3 linked regions of the Bombyx mori genome follow. The main gene of each other region encodes a partner of the protein of the gene in region 3 in a complex. Links are inferred from orthologs where the notes say so. Each region holds a gene or a part of one and is shown on either strand. Other genes may lie near its edges.

What was found.
Region 1: the proteins of origin recognition complex subunit 2 (region 3) and ORC5 are in contact, whole or in part, in a crystal structure (PDB 4XGC), measured with the Drosophila melanogaster proteins. The link is inferred for Bombyx mori from reciprocal best matches to the Drosophila melanogaster genes Orc2 and Orc5. Residues at the interface, in NP_731873.1 of Drosophila melanogaster: Asp438, Arg443, His468, Asn470, Thr471, Pro472, Leu473, Leu474, Trp475, Asp476, Gln477, Leu480, Trp487, Ser521, Ser524, Glu564; in NP_477132.1 of Drosophila melanogaster: Lys169, Ile382, Cys401, Asn402, Leu404, Ser405, Ile407, Ser408, Thr409, His412, Asn424, Ile425, Met426, Glu427.
Region 2: the proteins of origin recognition complex subunit 2 (region 3) and origin recognition complex subunit 3 are in contact, whole or in part, in a cryo-EM structure (PDB 7JK6), measured with the Drosophila melanogaster proteins. The link is inferred for Bombyx mori from reciprocal best matches to the Drosophila melanogaster genes Orc2 and Orc3. Residues at the interface, in NP_731873.1 of Drosophila melanogaster: Ala331, Ile332, Lys342, Met344, Cys345, Ile346, Leu347, Asn348, Glu349, Phe351, Tyr356, Leu358, His369, Lys375, Thr377, Val378, Leu379, Val380, Val381, Asn382, Phe385, Asp392, Ser396, Asp400, Ile401, Leu402, Asp403, Asn410, His412, Glu413; in NP_476904.1 of Drosophila melanogaster: Gly10, Cys11, Phe12, Val13, Tyr14, Lys15, Asn16, Ala18, Thr19, Arg20, Ser38, Leu39, Leu40, Tyr50, Tyr53, Arg54, Asn106, Pro108, Arg135, Asp136, Ala142, Arg177, Arg180, Asp308, His312, Gln316, Lys319, Tyr320, Met323, Phe327.

What each region holds. Positions count from the first base shown.
Region 1 is NC_085126.1:11,150,314-11,157,664, forward strand, and holds ORC5 (origin recognition complex subunit 5), read right to left. Parts: upstream 3,516-7,351; 5' UTR 3,444-3,515; coding exon 2,061-3,443; 3' UTR 2,005-2,060; downstream 1-2,004. Other genes in the region: cyclic AMP-regulated protein, read left to right, coding at 1,626-1,755, 3,837-3,953; probable aminopeptidase NPEPL1, read right to left, coding at 7,200-7,304. UniProt on the Drosophila melanogaster protein: Component of the origin recognition complex (ORC) that binds origins of replication. DNA-binding is ATP-dependent, however specific DNA sequences that define origins of replication have not been identified so far.
Region 2 is NC_085128.1:8,980,972-8,989,324, reverse strand, and holds the start of origin recognition complex subunit 3, read right to left. Parts: upstream 5,188-8,353; 5' UTR 4,675-5,187; coding exon 4,648-4,674; intron 4,555-4,647; coding exon 4,408-4,554; intron 3,771-4,407; exon of another isoform or gene 3,765-3,770; coding exon 3,586-3,764; intron 3,169-3,585; coding exon 3,066-3,168; intron 1,552-3,065; coding exon 1,334-1,551; intron 968-1,333; coding exon 820-967; intron 1-819.
Region 3 is NC_085115.1:9,010,616-9,018,934, forward strand, and holds the start of origin recognition complex subunit 2, read right to left. Parts: upstream 4,712-8,319; 5' UTR 4,303-4,711; coding exon 4,254-4,302; intron 4,139-4,253; coding exon 3,971-4,138; intron 3,673-3,970; coding exon 3,454-3,672; intron 2,603-3,453; coding exon 2,514-2,602; intron 2,050-2,513; coding exon 1,879-2,049; intron 1,712-1,878; coding exon 1,180-1,711; intron 755-1,179; coding exon 521-754; intron 1-520. UniProt on the Drosophila melanogaster protein: Component of the origin recognition complex (ORC) that binds origins of replication. DNA-binding is ATP-dependent, however specific DNA sequences that define origins of replication have not been identified so far.

The sequences.
Region 1 (7,351 bases), on a different chromosome or scaffold from region 3:
CGTTGTGGACGGTGATTGTTCTGATACCATGACCATTAATGCTGGCGTTCCACAAGGTTCGGTGCTCTCCCCCACGCTTTTCATCCTGTATATCAATGACATGCTGTCTATTGATGGCATGCATTGCTATGCGGATGACAGCACGGGGGATGCGCGATATATCGGCCATCAGAGTCTTTCTCGGAGCGTGGTGCAAGAGAGACGATCAAAACTTGTGTCTGAAGTGGAGAACTCTCTGGGGCGAGTCTCCGAGTGGGGTGAATCGAACTTAGTTCAATTCAACCCGTTGAAGACACAAGTTTGCGCGTTCACTGCGAAGAAGGACCCCTTTGTCATGGCGCCGCAATTCCAAGGAGTATCCCTGCAACCTTCCGCGAGCATCGGGATACTTGGGGTCGACATTTCGAGTGATGTCCAATTTCGGAGTCATTTGGAAGGCAAAGCCAAGTTGGCGTCCAAAATGCTGGGAGTCCTCAACAGAGCGAAGCGGTATTTCACGCCTGGACAAAGACTTTTGCTTTATAAAGCACAAGTCCGGCCTCGCGTGGAGTACTGTTCCCATCTCTGGGCCGGGGCTCCCAAATACCAGCTTCTTCCATTTGACTCCATACAGAGGAGGGCCGTTCGAATCGTCGATAATCCCATTCTCGCGGATCGTTTGGAACCTTTGGGTCTGCGGAGGGACTTCGGTTCCCTCTGTAGTTTGTACCGAATGTTCCATGGGGAGTGCTCTGAGGAATTGTTCGAGATGATACCGGCATCTCGTTTTTACCATCGCACCGCCCGCCACCGGAGTAGAGTTCATCCATACTACCTGGAGCCACTGCGGTCATCGACAGTGCGTTTCCAGAGGTCTTTTCTGCCACGTACCATCCGGCTATGGAATGAGCTCCCCTCCACGGTGTTTCCCGAGCGCTATGACATGTCCTTCTTTAAAAGAGGCTTGTGGAGAGTATTAAGCGATAGGCAGCGGCTTGGCTCTGCCCCTGGCATTGCTGAAGTCCATGGGCGACGGTAACCACTCACCATCAGGTGGGCCGTATGCTCGTCTGCCTACAAGGGCAATAAAAAAAAAAAAAAAAAAAATTCTCAAACCTCCAACAAACTTTCACGACCAGATGAATAATACCAGGGACACATGCGACACATCTACCACCCAACCCCAAGCTGGGATTCTTTTTTTGAGGGATTACTGGTGGCCCGGAGGCCTTTCCAGTTTCACCAGGACAGGTGGGCGAGCACGCGCTCAGCCAAGAGGGGTGGGATTTACTAACAGCTACCCGAGCGCCTCCAAAGGAGACCTAACCACTCGACAGTAGCTGCTTCGTGAATGAATTTTTGTATTTTTAAGTTATTTAAATTTTTTTGTGGGTAATTTCTTTCTGAATTCCTTAGCTTTTTTTGAAAAATATGTAAAATTAAGCTCAGCACCAAAGTGATTATTAATAATGATTGAGGCGCCGAGTGATCGGAAACTATAAATAATTGGAGACGTGGTTAATAAGAAATACAAAAACCGCGTGATAAATCGGTAAAAAGAGTTCTAATTAAGTCTTGGCTCGCGTAGTCCAACAGATGTGTGTTGCATTACACATATTTGTTTTAATAAATTTTTTGGACTGAAGGTTGCAGATGGGAGACGAGATGTCTAAACGCAAGAAATTTATGTTCATGACGTGGGTAGGACCGAACGTGTCTGTGATCAACCGAGCCAAGATGTCCACCGACAAAGCTATCATCAAGGACATCATATCGGTTCGTATAAGCCCATTTTATTTTTGGATAAGTTCTTCCCCCGCGTGCTTACAGCTTCTTTTTGTTCAATCCTAAACATCTCCCTAAATTAATCACGAAATTGAAAAAAAAATTATCAAAAAAATTGTTCCGAATTGCAGGATGTGCCAGCTATTTTAATAATACGGATTGGACTTTGACCTCATTTTTCAAATTGGTTGGAACCATGGACCATGAGCTCATTTACCCATATAAGTACTAAAAATCAAATTGTTTCAGAAAAATGTTTATTAGAGAAATATGTATCGCAACTTGACAGCAATACATCAAATAAAATCATACAAATATTTTCTAATGTTAAAACCGACAGTCTGAGCAATGGCTGAAATGAAATCATAGCCAACAATACATTTATATTTTGCTGTATCTAAATCTATCTCTTTGCTTCCCGCTATCAATTTTAGCTCAACTAATGTCGCTATTTGTGCCAACAGATTGCTGGTTAAACCGATCTTATCTTCTAAGATAGCATAGAATATTGCCAACAATCGATCTAAAGTAAAAACTTTAGGACCGAGCTGTGTACTTAATTTTTCATTAATTTTAGCCTTTGCTTTGATTTGTCTCATTTGTTTACGTTGTTTCCCGTGGTTCTTCATAAACAATCTCTTGTCTTCTTTGGGCGGATTGTAGCTAGCCAAATATGCTGCAATTAGTAAGTATTTCGCAAAGTATGGTAGTTCGAAGCTTTGTGCAAATGTTTTTGTAGAAGAAAGTTCATCTTTTAACGTTTTCTCCAGACAGAATTCTTTGGCATATAAGCTTTCACTGTTTTCTTTACCCGGTGAAGGTTTGAATTGCCTCATATCACTAATTCTTAAGTATAAAAGTTCTAGGCTTGTTTTCAAGATTGGTGAGATGTGTCTCCACAATTTAGTTAGATCATTTGATTGTATTTCACCTTTTATGATTGGTTCACAGTATTTGATGAAGTTTAGGCGTGCCATATGCTTTAATTCAATAAGGTCTCGACATGGCCTATAGAATACACTCAAGAATGCATTCAAGAAGTTTGCAAATAACTCTGGTTTTTCAATTAGTTCTGTTGTTTCATCTTCTATGTCAAAATGGTTCAGCAAATGCTGTACAAATGATTTTTGGTAGAGAAATATTATCCTGAATAACTCTTCTTTGTTATAGTTAGGGAAGTAGAGTTTTATGGGCTCTCGTACACCGAATTTGAAATTAAAATTTTCGAATATCAAATGCGTCACCAATATCGTGCAGATGTTCAATTTACAAAATTCTCTAAGCTTTAGTAGCACTGGCAAGAGGTTCTGATCCATGTTGCGTAGTCTCTCGACTCTATCGAATACAATTACTATTGGTTCATAATTATTTTGAAGCCGGTTCAAACAGTTTATAAAATCCATGAAATTTTCACATTTCACGTCCTCGTCTTCATCGTTGAGGGCAGACAATATGTTCTCGAACATTATCTTTGACGAATAACACTCGATACAGTCGACAAATACATGTTTATAACTTAAATAATTGAGAACAGTTTGTAAGCATAACGTTTTGCCGGTTGCCATACTTCCACTTATAAAAATAGAACACGGCAATGGTTCGTTGTCATCTCCGAATAAATTGAACAAATCGTTTAACTGATTCTCTCTGCACACAACTTTACTGTATATTTCATCCATTTTAATATAATTTATTTTATTTACGTAAGCTTTTGTGTTAATTCAATTCTATAACGTATGTTCAGGTTTGACATTTTTGCGCACATTCCAATTTTGACAACTTTGAACTTTGTAAATTTCATTTGATAGTCTGTGCTTCAAATAAAGTGCCGGCTTAGTACGACGAATATTGAGAATCAAAAAAGATACCTACTTTAATTCGTTTTATTCGTAATTCATTTGGATTTAAAATTAATTATTAGAACCTTGTTTTATTAATATTTTATTATTATCAGACAGATATTGACAGACACAAATATATAAAAAAATAATTTGAAATTAGGAAGGTCTAGTTTCACTCACCTTTCAATTTCAATGCTAGTTCTCAATTAACTAGTTTTTATTATGTTTCAGAACTTTGCTGTGGAGTTGCAACTTGAAAATCAGTCTGAGATAGACATCGACCAATTCAAGGATGCACTCAATAGGGCAGGGGGAGCGAACTACGGCACTGGCGTTAGAGATTTATGAATAGAAAATGTTTGCCCCGCACTTGCCACATGGAATTTTAAACGAATATTGTCTCTTTCATTCTATTATATAAATAATGAGTGCAAAGATACAATATTATACATAAAAATATTTTACAAGTGGATTTTAGGACTTATATTTTAATTGGGGCCGTGGCTTGGCCATTTTTGTAGTCGAGCAATAATTCATTAGTCATTTTTATTATCTTGTGTCAAATTGATCACATTTTTAATCACGTATAGAAATTCATTATTTATTTTTCAAAAATACACATGTTATATAATATTCTTCAGTGTAGTTTTAATAAGGATTTACCAAATAAAAAGTAGATAATCTGTCGTGCATTTTAGTAAGCGCGGTGAACGCATTTATTTTTTACTTAAAATTTTTAAAAATCTTTAATACTAAATTGAATTTAATGTAAACAAGCTTTTTATACATTGACTAGTAATGTAAATTGATATCAATAAAACCATGATTTCCAATATATTTTTTGTTTCATTCCGGTGTGTCAGAAACTTTGAGTGTCGGCGTTTTCGTTTGCTTGCGATGTTTTTCAAATTATTGAAGACTAACGGAATGTTACTTTGGTAATAAATATTTCTACCAGAAGAGGAATCTGTTAAATACCCATCCATTTTCGTAGATTCAACTCATGTTCGCAAAGTCAGTATTTTCAACGACCATCATCATTTCACTAGGAAGTTTATAAGATATTTGAGGCGGTCAGCGCAAAAGTGCCTTAACCCACAATTCATATTCGTCTTTATGTATTGCAATTTATTTAATACATAATAAATTTTGATGCAAAATCGCCCAAGTTTCACACAGATAACAGATGCCTTTGTAAACATTATTTTTGGACGTATTTTTTGGCTGGCGAAGTATTGTAAAGATAAATTCAAATCTCAATATCTCCATAATAACTATGGTAAGCTTAGACCACTTTTGCGCTGACGGACCTCATTTATACTATACATTAACAGTAAGATATTTGCCGATGATAAGTACCTCTCAGCGGATCTACGCGTATCCTAGGTCATATCATACGGAATAAAACAACAATGGCTACCCAAATATTAAGTTTTTTATTTTGCAAAAAAAAAAGAATAAAATGTTAGAATAGTGATCGGTAATACCACATAGTTCCTTAATAAAAATATAAGGTGACACTGCGACTTGGTTCTGATGGAACACATTTATTTACTTATTACTAAAAAAAAAAATCTGCCTTTTAATTTGGCTACTAAATATATTCATGGTCTTTAATTGAAAAACAACAGATTTTTTATTTAATTCATCACATTAAGGCAATGAATCAGCAAGTGAATTATTTTTCAGATTTGAACAACAAATGAGTCGTCTATTATCAAAGGTGGCAATCTGTGCATTTGAACAAGAAAATGTTATTGATATGTCAATACAGATTGATTTGAATATAATCGTCTCCTTCAAAGAATACGGTTCAAAACCTGCATTAAATAAAGGTTAATACTTAACCTGTTATTTATCTAAGATCTCGTTCAGAAGAGTTTTGTGGCTGCCAATGGAATACAAAGTCAATAATTCGTTTTTCTGATTTACCAATAATTGTCCAAAAGTCACATTGCCGGCTTTGATAATAGTCGACTCAAATAGTTGAAGGATACACAAAACCCTGTATTCTAGATAAGCATTAAAATACTTCCCACGCTATTTTCACTTACAAATACATTAATATAGTACAACATTACATTTTGTATAAGTTGAACGAGATGGTAACAATTTTACAAACAACAGTTTTATTGTACATTAATTAAATTACTTAATATTGCTTATTCGTTTTATTTTAAGGCGCTTTTTCAATGCGGATCAAATGCATACAAAAATTATTAATGTTAAAATATTATCACCCCACATCGCTCATTTTGGAAGGTCGTTTAGAACAAAATTATGTTTGTACCTAAATAAATATAATGGATAATAATTATAAAAAAATAATAAAAAAAATCTGATTTTTGTTTAGTACTCTCTATTTTCTTAAGAAGCTCGTTGGTTCGCGTTGCTGGCAGCGACACTTCGCTACAGACCTTTTTTTTTTTATATTTACAGTAATTCCCCCTATTACACGGTAGATTGGTTCCGCGTTATAGGAAACGCGTTGTAGTATTCACAAAAAACGCTTTTGTATGACCCCATATAACGCGTTATATACAAAAAATATATATGTACATATATAATACAATAATGCCAATGTTTTTACAATTCAAAAACTAGGAACAAAAATTGAATAAATTAATTTAATTTATTTTTATAACAACACAATTGACACAATGTGCAAAGGTACGCCAAATTCATTATGAACTGTACAGATATTAAATTTCACAGTACAGAAATATAACGTTACAAATCCCAGCGTTATATGGGGGAATGCCCGTGTTATACTAGGGACTGAAATCGCGTTATATGAAAATACATTATAAGGGTACCGTGTTATAAGGGGCATTACTGTATATCTATGCGCTATATCGCTGTGTCATACAAAAAATCATACCGATGCTAAATTGAGGGTACGAACTGGTTTCAACGTCGCTATGGAACTCGGGCTGTGGTGAGCTCCGGTGATCACTGGTGATCACTTAACGCCAGTTGGGCCGTTACCTTGAGGCATGAGGTCTTCCAGCCCGGAAGGCATGCCAGCTTCCCGACCGATATGTGTCAGGTCGGGCCTCCCTACTACCGGCTACTGACATAGTCAATAACATGAACCAATGAACATTTTGACTGACTTAAAACAATATTATCAAAATCGATGCTGTACATTGCGTGCTGATTGAGCCCTTTGAAACTTCGGGTTATAATCAGAGCGGCCGTGTACGTGGCGCGGGATCGCGTAACTTGACACATTTTCTTCTTTCAAATGCCTTTTAATATTAGATTTTGAGATATTAAACAATATTATTTTCATCGACGTACTATACTTATCGACATTCAAAGTACGTGTTTCTGTATCCTTAGCGACGCGGTCTCTGGACATCATCTACTGTCGCACGCATGCCAGCGTTAGAGTGTCAGGATGGTTTTATTCATAAAATAACCAATAAAGTTAATTATTATGCTTACTATAAAATAGATTTATAAAAAACTATAAATTGTACCTAATTTGTTGTTTCTCCACCGTAACCCGGTCCCGTACGTCCGGGCGTTTCTTTTGATTAGTGTACTCACACGCGTGGGCGATGAGCACCGGTGACCCTGGGGCGGTGCTCACAGTCGACCGAGGGGGCTAAGCGCGCGCAGCAGGCGGGACCCGGTGCGCGCGCCGAACAGCACGGCCAGTAGTGACACCCCGTAGCCGGTAGCACGCTCGCCCTGCGGGGGGTAAGGACCATTCGTGAGCTGGTACTGACTACAGTCCG
Region 2 (8,353 bases), on a different chromosome or scaffold from region 3:
CGAATACAAACAAAATTAATTCAACCTAATTGGTCGAACCGTTCCCAAGTGATACTCAGTCGTACAAGTGATCAATATTTTTAATATAAATATATAAATGGAGTTAAATTCACAGTGATCTTTCGTCGTGACCAGCACTAGAAATTTTGACAAATAACATTTTTGTATTCTGTGAATATTCGAATATAAACATTATACTCCGTTTTTGAAGTACATAAAAATCATAAGATCTTTCGATACTTCAATAAAGATTCGTGACGTAGTACCATCAACGGATAACAGGTGGCGAATTATAGTCTGGCAAGATTGAGATGTTCCGTTTCTTATTCCAGTTGGGAGATTTTGTCCAAGCCAGAACATTGATAGGTGCCAATATACATAGACAAAGCCACCTTTATATCCCACGTAAATCAAATACCTCACAATGTTCCATTAGCTGCGTGTAATGAAAAAAAATATTTTTATTCATTAGATTAACCTTTAGACATTTATGGCAAAGTAAAAATAATTTCCAGCTAAACAAATAACATGGTTAACATTCAAATAAAAAACTGATCACGCCTGTTCAATTTATATTAAAATCGGGTCCGAGAATCCATTTGAGTATTATTTTCTATTTTAAAAGCTGAATGTGTATCATCGCTTGCACTTTTCATTTCAAAACAAGCAAGCAGGCAATGCTTAACATCTGTTCCTTCTATAACGTCTAAAATTTCTATAACTATCCACCCATGTTTATTAGTTAACACTGCCAAAAAAATATGTTCCAGTTCCTTCTTAGATTATTATCTAAAGAAAGAAGAGAAGCAACAAACTAACCTGATTCATATAAACCGCAGACGAATGTGAATGAAAAACTTTTATTAAAAGTTTCGATGACACCTCATATGGGAAAGACTTGTGCAATGCCGAAACAGATGTTGCCACCCCAAAAACAAGCACTATGGGCAAGGAAGATATGTACGAACTGAAATAAATTGAGTAACTATTTTATATTATACTATATTAGACATTCATTTAAAACTATATTTATTACCAGTAGAAATTGTAATACTTTTTTTGACATATTTCTACTATTGTAATTATATATTTTTCTTATTTTACAGCAGATAGCTTACTAATCTTACTATATTTCTTATGAAATTAAGTGACTGACGCCACTATACATGCGATCGAACTCTTAATTTAATTGTATCTATAACTATTACTATACTATACTACTATCATAATAATCTACTACTGTGAGTAATGATGTAGATTTAAATATTGATTTCAATTTTTAGTTTCCATTACATGAATTTGATATATATGAAGTTAGTAAAAATACTTTTACCTTATTATCATTACAAAATCTTGTAACAAGTGACAATTAAAGCTTTCAAAATCAGGTATTACTATTACTAATGTCTTTGTCGAAATTGATTTTTTCTTCTTATTAGTAGATTCATTTGTATATTTTGAATGGTACCACGTTTTCAGGGTTTTCATTGTACATTGACTCTTTTTTAATTTATGTTTTGTTGATAATACATCGCATTCTTCGTCATTTTTCTGCAAACAGAAACAAATAACAGTAAACATTACATTATAACAAGGGTGAGCAACGTTTTTAATCAATGGTCCAATTCAAATTTTAATTTTTTTTGGCGGGTCGCAGTTACTTTGACTCTTATTAATAATTTACGAAACTTTATTTGTAATAAACATTAGAATAGAAAATTATAAAACTAAAAAAAATGTAAAGATTTCATATACAAATTTTAATACAAAACAAATACAATGAAGAAAAGAGGCAAACACGCGGGATGAGATGCCCTACTTTTTTCCCGCGGTGCACATACTATTTTTTCTCCTACCAGGCCGAAAGTTCGTGGAGTACCGAGCCGGGGTCCAGAGGCGAAGCCCTGGCAGGAGGTAAGGGGGGCGGAGCCCCCTCATACTCATAACAAAACAATTTAACTGTTTTTTAATTTTTAAATAAAGTACTACTAATTGAATAAGAACTGTCTGATGAATTCATCTTTGTTTAATACTTCACTATTATATTTTATTGCCTTTAGTTTACTTCACTTTTACACTAAACACAATATTGCAAATTACCCGAGCACAACAATGACGGAGAATTATAGGTGCGTGAGAGCAGACGTAGACACTAACGCGCATGCGCACTTGTACCCAGGGAGGAAAAGTTACTATTTCTTCCATGTACAGCGGGAAGAAAACCGAACTTTCGGCATAGGTAGGAGAAAAATTAAATTATTCAGTTTCTTTTTTTATTGCTTTTGTCGCCGTCGCCGCGTCGCTCGCGAACTTTAGCAATGTCAAAGGCACAACTACTGCCGAGTCCTTTCCTTAAACTTCACTCGAAGAAGAGCATGTCATAGTAATCAGGAATTATTGTGTAGACAATTTCATTCCAAAGCTGTACGGTAAGTGCCGAAAAATATCATTGGAAACGCACTAGGGATAAACGCAGTGATTCTAGATAATATAGGAGAGCTCTGCTCCAGTCACGGCAGTATGATGGCATAAAGATGACCAGATCATCTCAAACTTGTAGGGAGTGGCTGCCTCTAGCAAACTCTGTCCTGGCAGTGCTGATGTCTATGAATGACGGTAATCACTCACCAGCTGTATGCTTTTGCGCCTACAGGCGATAAAAACAAAAAATCCTCAGAGCACTCCCTATGAATCATACGATAAACAGAGAGCTAAAGAGCTTTCATAGATCCTGATGATTCAAACCATTTATAAAAACAAATGACCTTATGTAATGAGTCAAATGAAAGTAGCTGCTATGTAATTCATGTGAGATGAACATGGGATTTATATGACATAGGTCTGTATGCAGGTGTGCTTCTTGGTTCTATTCAGAACTACCAACATTTTAAATGTCAACTTGGCAGTATCTCGATCCAGTACTTTGATACCAAGCACTGTGATGAAAGAGTTGTCTCTCTGTTGTTAGCCTGTAAGCCACTTACATATCTCATAGAAGTCACAATACAACTAGTAAAATATATTGGTGTTACAAAAACATTTCTAAATAGATTGACATCACTTACTAAATCATTCCCAATCAACTGCCAAACCATGTTCTCAACTATATGTTTTAATGATAACGAATCTTGTGAATTAACTATTGCCACATGAGGACTTATTTCATCTCTGTAAGAATTTTTAAAGTTAATAAACAGTCCCTTGCATTCCGGAATGAACTGATTATGACTACCAGTTTATGAGGTTTATGGTTCGGGATTGAGCAAGTCTTATTTAGGCTATTTCTTTAATTTTTCTTTCAGTCCTAAAATTAAGTAAATGTGTAGTAGACAATGAAACTTTGCTATGCTTAATCTGTAGGCATATGATATTAAAAGCAAATAAATAAACATGGTGTGGTAATAAATGCAATTGTAATTTATCATCAATTTGAATTTTCAAATAACTGTATCCTGAATTTTATTTCATTCATTTTTATCTCCATATTTCATTTTATCATACTATATACTTTTAGTCTTAATATATTACAGCTATTAATATTTGCTCATTTGGCTACATGCAATTATTATAGTTGGCACCACTTACTTTATTATATTTATGAGTGCATCAAATTGTGATACATGATCAGGCTGACTAACCCCAGTTAGTAGTGTTGCGCTAGGAATTATTCCTTCCAACATAAATGCTTCTTCACTTCCATAAAACTGCTTTATATAATTTACTATATCATTCAACAGCACACTGTAAGACCTTTGATTGAGTTCCTTTAAAAGATATACACATACATGTTGAAAAATGTTTTATTCCTTATTCATGTAAGAATAAGCAGCACTTAATATAAAAAAATCAATGCACAAGCCTTATTCAATATTCTGAATTATCCAACTATTGTTGGAATTGAAAGTTAAAATATCCAAGTAATAAAATCACTGGAGCAAAATCAAAACAACTAAGGCCAGGTACACATAGTATAAACAATTACTTATAGAAAGTAACATTTATGGCAACAACAATGGATGAGAAGCTCATTAAGGTGATACTATAAGTTGGGTAGGTTACTATAGGTATAAAGTGACCTGAGTTCAATCTGCTGCTAGGGTTTTGATGGTTTAGATGTATTCAGGACACATTTGAAAATAGTAACTACCACAATTTACTACTACTCCAATTTTTGCTTTACATCAAATTAAAAATCTATGAAAAGGCTACAATAAAAGACACAAAAGAGTTGTATGATTTTTTTTAAATATGGAAATAACAATATTTAGTAGTCTCCTGAATTATAGTTATCTTTAGTAGCTCTTAATTGAAGCTTAAGACATAACTGTATAAGTTTTTACAAGACAAAGTTTTTTTTCATGGCTGTATGACCGAACAGCTTTTCAGTATTTTCTGAATTCAACTTACATTTAATTTAGTTTTAATAGCTTCCCAATTTTTTCTATAAGTAAGATACCAACACTCTTCTTGAAATAATTTACAAAACAATAAATTTGTTTTTTTCTTTGAAAGAGTTTTCGAGTTTTGAAATCCATTTGGAAATAAAAACACTCCCTGTAATTTGAAAAACAATTAAAATTAATTATTCTATCTCTCAAACAGTAATATTTCATTACTTTTAAGCAGTAAATAAAAAAAATACTTTACCTTTGAAACTGACACAGTGGATTCCATTGAATTCCGTTCTTAATTCTATAATAATCTTTCTTCATAGAATATTAAACTGTAGTACAAAACCGAAAAAAACAATGTTTAACCTGGTTTAACCTTTTTTTTTTTAAAAGATTTTATGACCTGGTAACTAAGACCTTTAAGTCATGTCTTATTTTAATTTATAATCTTATTTTATGAAAAATGATAATATGGAGTGAAATGAAATGAAGATGATTGATTTGAGACATTAATCAACTGGGATGAAATTTAATGAGATGATATGGGATGAAATATAATCGCAGTAAAATGGTGGTCATTTACTGAGATTTTTTCAGTGGACTTTTTGGAGGAACCCGAGAAGTTACGTCCAGCAGCTTTGTTTCATTTTCCCACATTTGTGCACTTTCACAGATATTAAACAGTTAATAAACCACCATTATTACACATTTAAACCCGAAGAAACACTAAATAGACAAAATAAAACAAATCACACAACTGCACTCCTCGCGTTCCCGCCAAAAAGTCTGGTTTAACCTTTTTAATTTCAGTCATAGATTAAACATATAATTTATTTGAGATTTCCATAGAGTTACTATTCTAACTGGAGTGCTTACTTCGTTTGACATAAAAACTAAAAATATACTTTATCTCTATGGCTTAAAGTTTATTTTTAAATAGCAAAAGATGTAAGGAAAAACGGTCTGAAAAGAGAATGACTATTAAGTGGTGGTGTCCCTCTCGCACATTTTACAAACAAAAAGCAGTGTTGCTAGCTTAGAGGATTTTCCACAAAATCTCGTAATTTGGACCCCTGTCTTAGTTATCAGTAGTATCAGTAGTAGCTTGGGCTTTTTTTTTATTGCTTAGATAGGTGGACGAGCTCACAGCCCACCTGATGTCAAGTGGCTACCGGAACCCATAGACATCTACAACGTAAATGCGCCACCCACCTCGAGATACAAGTTCTAAGGTCTCAGTACAGCTACAACGGCTACCCCACCCTTCGAACCGAAACGCATTACTGCTTCACGGCGGAAATAGGTGGGGTGGTGGTACCTACCCGTGTGGACTCCCAAGAGGTCCTACCACCAGTAATTACGCAAATTATAATTTTGCGGGTTTAATTTTTATTACACGATGTTATTCCTTCACCGTGGAAGTCAATCGTTAACATTTGTTGAGTGCGTATTTCATTAGAAAAATTGGTACCCGCCTGCGGGATTCGAACACCGGTGCATCGCTTCATACGAATGCACCGGACGTCTTATCCTTTAGGGCGTTGTTGAAAATTATCGAAAAGGTTAAAATCAATCCACTTTACAGGATTTTAAACATTTTATGACAATAATATATCTAAATACATATTATTTAAACGATGTGACTTAAACTTAACTAGAAAATGCTGCGAGAATTTAGAATTTCCATCAACGTCAAAAATTAAATTGGTTCAAAAGAAACGTACAAAGTCATGGTGAAATTAGTTGCTGATGATGACAATTTATTAAAATAAATTATATAAGAAGTATTGATTATATGATATATATTGATTTTTATTAGAACATCATATATTAATAAAGCTCATTAACAAAAAAAATATTGTTCTATATTAATAAGAACTCTGTTTAATGGAAAATTTAATGGTAGGTAAGTAGATTTCTGATGGTTTTCATGGGAAGCCAGATTAATTGTTGGCATCACCGAAAAAGAGCTATGAATGGATTAAAAGAAAAATGGCGTCTATTTACGTTTGTAGTTCGAAGTTAAAAGGGCACTGATACAGCTTGTGGCTTGTTTTTTTCCGAAAATCGTGAAAGTTTCCGTGTAATCATGGCGAACACTTGTATTGTAAGTGGTTTTAAGCGAGAATCCTCTCCAGTTTGTGGAATATCCTTCCATATATCAGATTCATTGATAAATTTTTACTAGTGTGAGTATATATTTTTAAAATGTTAGATATTTTTTCTCATAATAATATTTAATACCATTTGTCTTGTAAATTGTACTTAATCTATGTCATATATTAAATTTGAAAAAACAATCGTGAAAAACTATAATTTTGCAATGTATTTTTCATATTATAAGAGGAATCACGTGGTATTTTTTTGACTTTGTTTATTGTATTGAATAGCGTCGCACGCAAGCATGTATATCATTTGCCTGACGTCAAGCGAACGAGGAGGATCTTCTAGTAAATATGACGTTGGAATTTCTGGAAAATGTCCTATATAAAGGTCAAACAAGAGGAATCAAGTACTCAAACGCAAGAAATAAAAAATGCCCCGAGAAAAGCAAAATTACGACAAGATGTTAAGGTTTTGAAACAAAAACTTAAAAGTCGCGAAATAGTGATTGTAAATATAAAGTCGATTTTAGATTTATTAAAGAAAAATGGCGATTTTTAATTGAATTGAAATTTAAATTGCGAAATTTTAATGATACTCATGGTCCACTTAGATATTGACTAAAATAAATTATTTATTTCGTTGAAAAAAAAAGAATTTACATAAAATAGGGGAAATGTTATATTATTTATTTATTTTATTAGGCTCACAATACACATCACAAGCTAAAGATACATAAAAAACACAAATAAAAAGAAACAATATCTGGCTAATAAGACTACAGAAAATTAACTGAACTTAATAATAATAATATAACCAATATTTTGTAAATAGAGATCAAGTACTATGTGTATTGTGTTATGTGTATTGACTTGTCATTTAAGAGTTATTTAATTGTCTACATATAACAAATAAATTAATTTCAGTTCATTTCATTTTATTACCCATTGTGTTTTATTTATTAAAATGTAACTAGTAGACTTAATATAAACGTAATATAATATAATATAATATAATATAATATAATATAATATATAACTTAATATAAGGTAAATTCAAAACTGATGCATGTGTATAATTTTGTCCTATAAATAAATTTTATATGGTCACCACATTAGACAAGGACACCGCGACCAAAAAGTATTCTCTTTCGAGACCGATTTCTCGGCATTAGACAGCACTCCAGTTGTAGGTACTTATTAACTCCATGGAGATTTCATAGTAGTAAATTTATTTTTCCAAATGGAAAGACAAAGGTATCATACCATACATCCTAATCTTTTCTATATATTTTTTTTGTACAATATGATATTGTGAAATGGAATGAACTTGATTAATATGAAATATGACATGAAATGAAATAAAATGTGATGATATGAGATGGGATATTTTTGTGAAAAATTATAATATGGAGTGAAATGAAATGAAGGTGATTAATTTGAGACTAATCAGCTGGGATGAAATTAAATGAAATGATATGAGATGATATGGGATGAAATATAATCTCAGTAAAATGGTGGTAATTTACTGAGATTTATTCAGTAGACTTTTTGGAGGATTCCGAGAAGTTACGTCCGAGAAGTTACGTAAAATAGGAGTTATCCCTATTTACTCAGAAATTGTGGTTATTGGGGACGAAATTAGTGTTCATAGAGAAATTTGCTAGGGCTGGCACTCCTTGGTTTTAATTTATTTATTTATTTAGTTGCACCAACAAAGTGCACCAATAAAATAAAAAATATTGAAAAACTGACAAAAGTACATGGCAGATGGCACCTCAATCATAGGTCGCAATCGGACAACTCCGAATGAACATTAACGGAGCGCGGTCTCCGTTAATATTCATTCAATAAATAAAA
Region 3 (8,319 bases):
CGCGGCGCTGCTCCGCGAAAGCGGTGCAGTACGCGAGCGTGTGCTCCACCGTGTCCTCGTTGCAGCCACTGCAGTGGTGGCACTTCGGCGTCGGCTCCCTCCGGGCGACGAGGTGCAGGTAGCGACCGAAACAGCCGTGTCCCGTGAGCACCTGTGTCGCTCGGAAGGTGAGACGTCCTCGGTCGCGATAGTTACAAAGGCTGCCCCATCCTTCAAACCGAAACGCATAACTGGTTCACGGCAGAAATAGGCAGGGCGGTGGTACCTAACCGTGCAGACTCACAAGTGGTCCTACCACCAAATAGTCAAATTGTCAAAACAAATACGATATACTATTTTTTTTATTTTCATATTTTATCTTAATTGTTTTGTTGGTTCTTATCCAATGGTCTTGCCTTTTCTTGCTACTGCCATTTATATCATGTCGTGACACATCACGTCAGAAATGGCACTTTAGCGGAAAGCCTATTTTTGTTTTATATAATAATACATAGTCATAAATAGTATTTACAAGGCTTACCTTGATAATGGGCTTGCTTTTGATTTGCTAATTGATGTTCAATAAGGATAGTGAAAATCCCTTTTGAATTCGATGTTAATGACTGATAAACGCTCCTGAGTGATGATAATTGTAGGGCGCCACTTTTGTGTGTCATTATAGAATTCTCGAAGGAAGTTTCTTCAGTATAAGGAACAAACGAAGTTACATCCCACCATGAAAAGTTGTATTTACTCAATTTAGAATAGTCCCATACTGAAAATTGAATTATTCTGCTTAATTAATCGTTTACGTGGTGTAGCGCTTTTTATATAACTTCAACGCTTGCGACGAAGGGCTCGGCGAGTATATTAGCCCACAGACACGGCCCACTCGCCGGATCTTCTCAGTGGTTTGCGTTTCCGATCTGATAGCAGATTCTGCGAAGCACAGCTCTTGCTAGGGTTAGTGTTAGTAACGTCGTCAGGTTAGAGCCCCGTGAGCTCACCTACTAGACCGGTGACAATGATATGGCCTCTCTAGATCATCAGCGTAGGTAGGAAAAAAACAAATAACTTCAAAAACTAAATTAAGTTTTTAGATTAATAATCACTTGCAAAAGTTAACTTAAATGCATATTTTAATCAAGTACTTTCTCATGCTAAAATTGAGCGTTTAAGAAAAAAAAGTAAGGTACTTACGTAACGGGGCATTAATATGATCGATCGTTGCAATGGTGTGCACATTCTTTATCTGAGATAGACTAGCCAAAGTAACTTGTGATTTAGAATTTCTTAACATAGGTCCATCGATGTTGTTTACTATCAGAAATAGGTCCACGCCATTTTCTGACAGCTGACTGTCAATCAATTTTACAACGCTGCCAATATTGGACGGTACAGTTGTATTCCCTAGTAGATCTACGACGATGCTTTCTAGGATATCCTTAATGGTGAGACTCGGAAAGAATCCATTTACCATTATACACGGAAACTTGTTCAACTTCTCAGCTTGAAACTGTTGGAGCAAAGTTCGTTTCGATCCTATGCCGTATAAAATAATACTAAAGTTTTCACTTAGTTCATACAGCCATCTGTCAAAGAGCTGTCGATGGTTATAGTTGAGCTCTGCTATTTTTTTCCTGTGTTCTGTTGATATATGTACAGTATCTGGAGAATTATCTTGAATATTCATGTTTTTCAATCTAGCAAGAGTGTGATCTGATGTGGCTATCTGTAATATTATAAATTTCTTTATTTAGACAATATCAAAGTAAGTTCAAATGAAAATCAATTAAAAATTGAGCTCGAATAAAAATAAAGCATCAACATGAAATCAATACAATATTGTATGCTGATAATTCAATAATTCAATTGGTATGAAGAAATAAACATACTAACTTTTTTACTAGAATTCATCATAAAATAGTTGTCAGGTTTTACGATGTATTCTGAATCCTTAATTTTCATTTTATTGTTCCTGTTTCTGGTGATTTGTGTTTTAACTGAATCTTTCCTCTGAGGTTTCTCATCTTCTACTGATGTTGATGATGATGATGAAGAATCAGATTGCTGCAGAAAATATTTTTATTAAAATAGTATATAGTATTTTCTTTGACATTCGAGAGTTGTAATCATTTAAAATGGTAATGGTTACAGTTTAATCACATGTTAAATAACACCTCAGTTGTCTGATGACCATGAAAACTCAAAGAAAGAAAAAGTTTTTCAGTCATTCTATCCTAAACAATAAGACGCCCAGTATATTTGTATCGGGTGGTGCTAAGTAGTAAGCAGGTACCAATTATCTAATGATATATGTATGTACAAACTTAACCCATGGCCATGATGAAGGAATAGCATCATACAATAACAGTCAAACAATAACAATTTACAATCTTTGTTTTTATTAATATGCAATTGAGGCATAGAACTCAAGGATCTGAGGATAAAAAATCCTGGCGTAGAGGAATTATAAGAGCTGGCCCAATTTAAAGTGGGAAAAGGAGTACAAAACTTCAGTACTATCAGTTTACCTCCTCATTTTCACTCTCATCTGGAACAAAATCACTGCTGCTTCCAGAAAAATCACCAGAACTATCACTGTCTACTTCCTGAATGATTCCTGAAAGAGATGTATGTAGTATGTAGATAACATTTGAGTGTACTCCAGTATATTGAGTATTTCAACAAATTTACTAAGAAAAAAAACTACCGGCTCATTACAATTTATGATCATTCTTAATTTGGGCCAACTGTTACAAAATCTTTGAGACTTCAACCTCATGTCAGGTCATTGGCATTGGTGTGTAGGTGGTCTCTTGTTACCAGACAATTACCAAACAGGCTCAAGCCATATAATACAAAAAAGGAAAACTCTGTCCTAACGTTAGTACTCCCAAAATTGCAGTACTTAATATGAATATAATAAACATCCTAGTGTTCATTTTATTCCTAGAGAACTGTATAACAAATATTATTTATTTCAACTTCTAATGTATTTGTTTTAACTTGCTTTTATACACGTATTTATGTTAAGAACTAAATTCTATTTTGAAATGATCATATGAATATCTATAACCCAATAAAACCAATTATTAACTGAAATGTTCAATTTTAAAAGTTGGAAGTTTTAAAAATTAATCAATATTAAGCTTTACCCCTATTTCTAGGACTTGCTGTGTATCTTTAAATTATTAAACTCAAAAATATTACTATAGTACTATTATATTGATGGGTGAAATCCACTTAAACCAAATGTTAAATAATATTATGTGAAATTTATCTTTGTAATTATGTTCTTTTTATTTGGTATTAGCATCAACAATTTCACATTTTTAATAGAACTTCAATTATGTTTACCCCATTCAACTAGCTGATGAAGTTTTATTGCCATGTTATTTTTTCCAAATTTTAAACTTTAAATTGGCTTTCAGCCTCAATATATACTATGTAATATATTTAAGTAATACTTACTTTTTTTTATTACTTCCCTAACATGTCTTGGAGTACCTGCTGCTTTTCTAATTGGGCTATGCAAATTTATTACTTTTTTAGGAGTTTTCAAACGTGTGAGTATTACTTTGGGTGAATTCATCATTGCTGATCTCACTGCATTCTGTAGATCATGCTTTGTGTGACGACCCTTAAATTTGAATATATCTTGACCCTCCACATCATCATCACTAAACAGTGCTGAAATTTACAAGAATGCAAAAATGTATTCCATTATAGCATTTTCTTGATTTTCACAAGTTGTAGACATAATTAATGTGAAACTAAACTATAAAAATAAGTATGTGTAACCAAATATTCAGCATTTTAAATTATTTTCTTTATAAATGTACTAAAAATTAAGTATGTACTTAGAATTTGATATATATATTACAAAAAATACATTAGGAAAAAATTTGCCTTTAAGAAAAGTTACTCATTCTCATTTTTATGTTGTTTAATTTCAAATTTAGATATAAACTGTACATTCAAAGTGTACCTCTGGGTTTCTGTGGACAAGAGTCGTCGATAATCTCGTCTTCTTCACTAGAAGTACTCACTCTACGGGGTTTCCGTTTAGAGGGTGACAATTCAAAAAAATCGTTGTATTTTTTCGGTTTTTGTCTAGTTCTCCCTGTTCGACGAGACGGGGTTTCGGGCAAATCGACTGTAAAAACATTAAAGATTTATTCCTATTGGCTTCATTTTAACTCCATAATGCTTAAGGCAATTTAATAAAATATTAGTAAAAAAAGCTGCGATAAATTTGTATTAAAATTTACCTGTCTCTGTTTCACTGTCGGATACTTTACCCTTGAGTTCACTTGACATACTTGTGGCAAATACTTCCCTTAAATTACTTTACTCCTTTAACAAATAATTTATTTGAGATTTATTAGTTACTTTTTAAAACAGTTGTAGTAGTAGCAAGTTAGATTTCAAACATTGCGTTATGTTCATAGATTATACACTTAATATATTAGAGATATAGGTTATGTTTTTGACATTGTTTAAAGTAGTAGTAGTTTTATTTTTTTAAATGGAAAGGCACCATACAGCCTAATCTTTTATATATATATATATTTTTATGAAATATGTTATTATGAAATGAAATAAAGCTGATTAATACGAAACATGGAATGGCATGAAATAAAATGAAAATTTTGAGACATTGATCAACTGGGATGAAATTAAATGAAATGAGATGAGATGATATGGGATGAAATATAATCTGAGTAAAATGGTGGTTGCTTACTGAGATTTTGTCATACCTAAAATGGAATTTTTAGGGATTGAAAGGTGAATGGGGAAAAAACCAGGAAAATTTTTCGACGCTCAATATTAGTTTTATATTCGTTGCAAAATCTTCCCTTTCTTGTAGTGTAATAGTAGAATGTTGAAAGTTCACAAGCAACTTTGAATATGCATGATAATAGCTGCTAACTTTAAAAAAATCGCATTTCAAATTAACTTCTTGTAGTGGTCATTATTTTAGTGCTAGAAACTTTGCTCTCTTTTATTTATTTGATAATAATAGGAGACGACTGTGATTTATAAACGTTATTCAGTATTTGAGCGATCATATGTTGTTATTGGTTTTAATGTTTTTTGATAATATAGAAATACATGTAAAAATCTATTATTTTTGGGGATAATGGGGACGTCTCAGGTACAAATAACAACGAATGAGGGGTCTATTGGGATGAAAATAAGTTCAATGGGAGTGAGTAAAGTATAAATAGGTACAGGTTTGTAGGATTGTCTATGTAGTTATAACAATCTTTTTTAAATGTATTGGTAAGAATCTGGTTTATTCATGATGTTTTTTTTTTTTTTTTTTTATTGCCTTTGTAGGCAGACGAGCATACGGCCCACCTGATGGTAAGTGGTCACCGTCGCTCAATGCTAGAACTTTTATTTAAAATTATCAATGCAGTGTTATTTTATTGTTTGACAAATATGTATATTATCAGTTACGTGTTGTTTTCTATTTTTAGATATGACTCGCGTGTACGTATCAAAGAGTGCAAAGCCTTATAAGAGATATGATCCCTTAATATTATTGCACCTATAAGTTATATCTGCCTGTACTTTTGTCAGTTTTTCAATGTTTTTTATTTATGATCACTTTGTTGGTGCAACTAAATAAATTAAAACCAGGTAGTGCCAGCCCTAGCAAATTTCTCTATTGACACTAATTTCGTCCCCATTAACTCCAACTTCCGGTAAATACGGGTAATCAATTATTTTTGCTTTTTTTGTTTAAGCTGGAATGTTAATTGCAGTTTTAAATTGGATAACAAAGATACCCCCAAGACTCAATCATTTTGACCCTGATATAGCATTAAATACATCAACAACTACCTTAAAATTGTTCAAAGTTTGAATTTGTCCCTAATCACCCCGTTTTATCGATACCGTACTTCATTGTCCTACCTCGAGGATTTGTCGAGAACCTTTATTCACTGTAAATAGGGTACCTGTTTATTATATATATTATAGAAATAGGTAAGGTCAATATAAGTTGTTTCTGATGGTAGACCGTCTGTCGTACTGGATTTAAACAAAGTTTAATCTATTAACTTATGTATGTTTTTCTGCCGCGTAGCGATTATGCGTCAAACACAAACGGAAGCATAGAGGGTAGTCTCACATATTATTATAGGGAGATTTTGTTACCTTACTCATAGTACATCAGGTGTAAATAATAAAAAAAAACAATACCTACATTTTTTTCTTTTATTGTTTAGATGGGTGGACGAGGTCACAGCCCACCTGGTGTTAAGTGGTTACTGGAGCCCATGGATCTACAACGTAAATGCGCCACCCACCTTGAGATATAAGTTCTAAGATCTCAGTATAGTTACAACGGCTGCCCCACCCTTCCAACCGAAACGCATTACTGCTTCACGGCAGAAAAAGGCAGGGTGGTGGTAACTACTCGCGCGGACTCACAAGAAGTCCTACCACCAGTAAAAATACACCTACATACTACATACTCATAGTTATAATATATATGAGCATTTCTCAAAATTATTGCACAATAGACTTTAGCCTCTGTCCCATTTTTTAATATTTTGTTCCGGCTAATATATTAGTTCATTACTACTTTTTATAAATTGTGTAAGCAGTATAACTACTCTACTGATTCGAAAGGAAAAAAACAGATATAAATACAATGAGATTTTTTCATTAAAAATATATATCATAAATCAGCTTCAACCAGTTGTATGAAAAGTGCAGTGTCCCAATCTCAATATCTTACCAAACCATCGATCTTTAGTTGAATGGACATGGGCATTGTATAAATAAAAAATATTATTTATTTACAGCCATAAGTCACAATTCATCCTAAAACATCCTTTTTAGCATTAATTTATAATTAAATTTCTAATTAATGATTTTAACTTGTCCCGTAAAAAGTTCCACCTAGAAACTCCAGTTTTTGTTACCATAATTCTGAAGAAATATGAGAATCGATTAATGCAATTATATTTTAGAATAATGGTAGCATTAGCCGGCTTGGCATCCGTCTTGTTTTAATTTCGACTAGTTCTTTCTGGTGCCGGTACGAACGGTAAAAGTCAATATTTAAGCTAGCGGTCAGAAAAAAATTCCACCTTTGTTACTCATAAAACATAGATAAGTGCAGATTTTATTGTTATTTCACTTAACCTACTATTAAAGCTCCCATTCTTGATTTCGTTAATCAAATCGAAATAAGAGTAATCGTGTGAGTTGCATGTGTTTACAAATAAAATGACATGTTGTTCTTGATTTGTTACTTCTTTTTTTGTTACTTTTGTGTGGTAACGTATAAATGGAAAAGAGAGTAACAAAATAGGAAATCATTAGGCTGAGTATATATAATATATTATTATTATTGTTGGCGACAGCGGCGTCGCCCCATAATTATAGAATAAGTTGAAGAATATAATAGAATATAGAATAGAATAATAGATTTATATAGATACGTACATAGACATAGAGTTATAACAAATAGATAAATTATATAGAGTGCATATAGATAGATAAGTATATAGATAACGTGCACATAGATTTTACTAAGAATAGAACGTAAGTTGCTTTGAAATAAATAGTATACACTTTTGCTTTATTATTCCCGATAGTTTTAAGATTAGCATATTAACTTAAATGAACACGCGCCCGGCCCGCGTCCCGAAACGATGTAACAAACAGCATTTATCTGTGTTCAGGACCGGGTATTTTGTTTATACGGGCGCGTCATATAGATTAAGCATAGAATAAGTTATATGTATCGATAGGGATTACAACATAGAATAGTTAAGTATAAGGCATTAGTATATACATTTATTAAATAAATAGATATAACGAATAAACCGAGCCGATCATAGTGAAAATGATCTCGACGAGAGCCGTATTTTACACGAGATCTCTGTAGGGTAACATTCCGAGGTAGTTAAGCGACCCTGCGACGCTGTCAGGTACCTGCCGACTTGCCGACCGACTACCTGCCGACCTACCGACCGACCCTCGACCGACTACCTGCCAACCGCCGGCCGCCGATCCTCCGAACGAAGATTACAAAAAAACGCACGAGTAAAGACATCAGCGCCTCGAAGATATTTATTGAAGACTCGAAGACCATTGAAAAGATCGTCGGTTATTGAATTCGGTTGTATTGACAGATCGGTCGGCTCGGTTTACGTTCAGTAGCAAAGTTTTGAGTTTTAATTTCGAGTGAGCTTGTACGATATCGTACACCTCAGGACCCTACATCGACTGCTTCAGATCGACACGAATAATCGCCACGAGACGGGCATCCGGCGTCTTATAGGATTTCAAGAAATCTTATAAGATTCATAA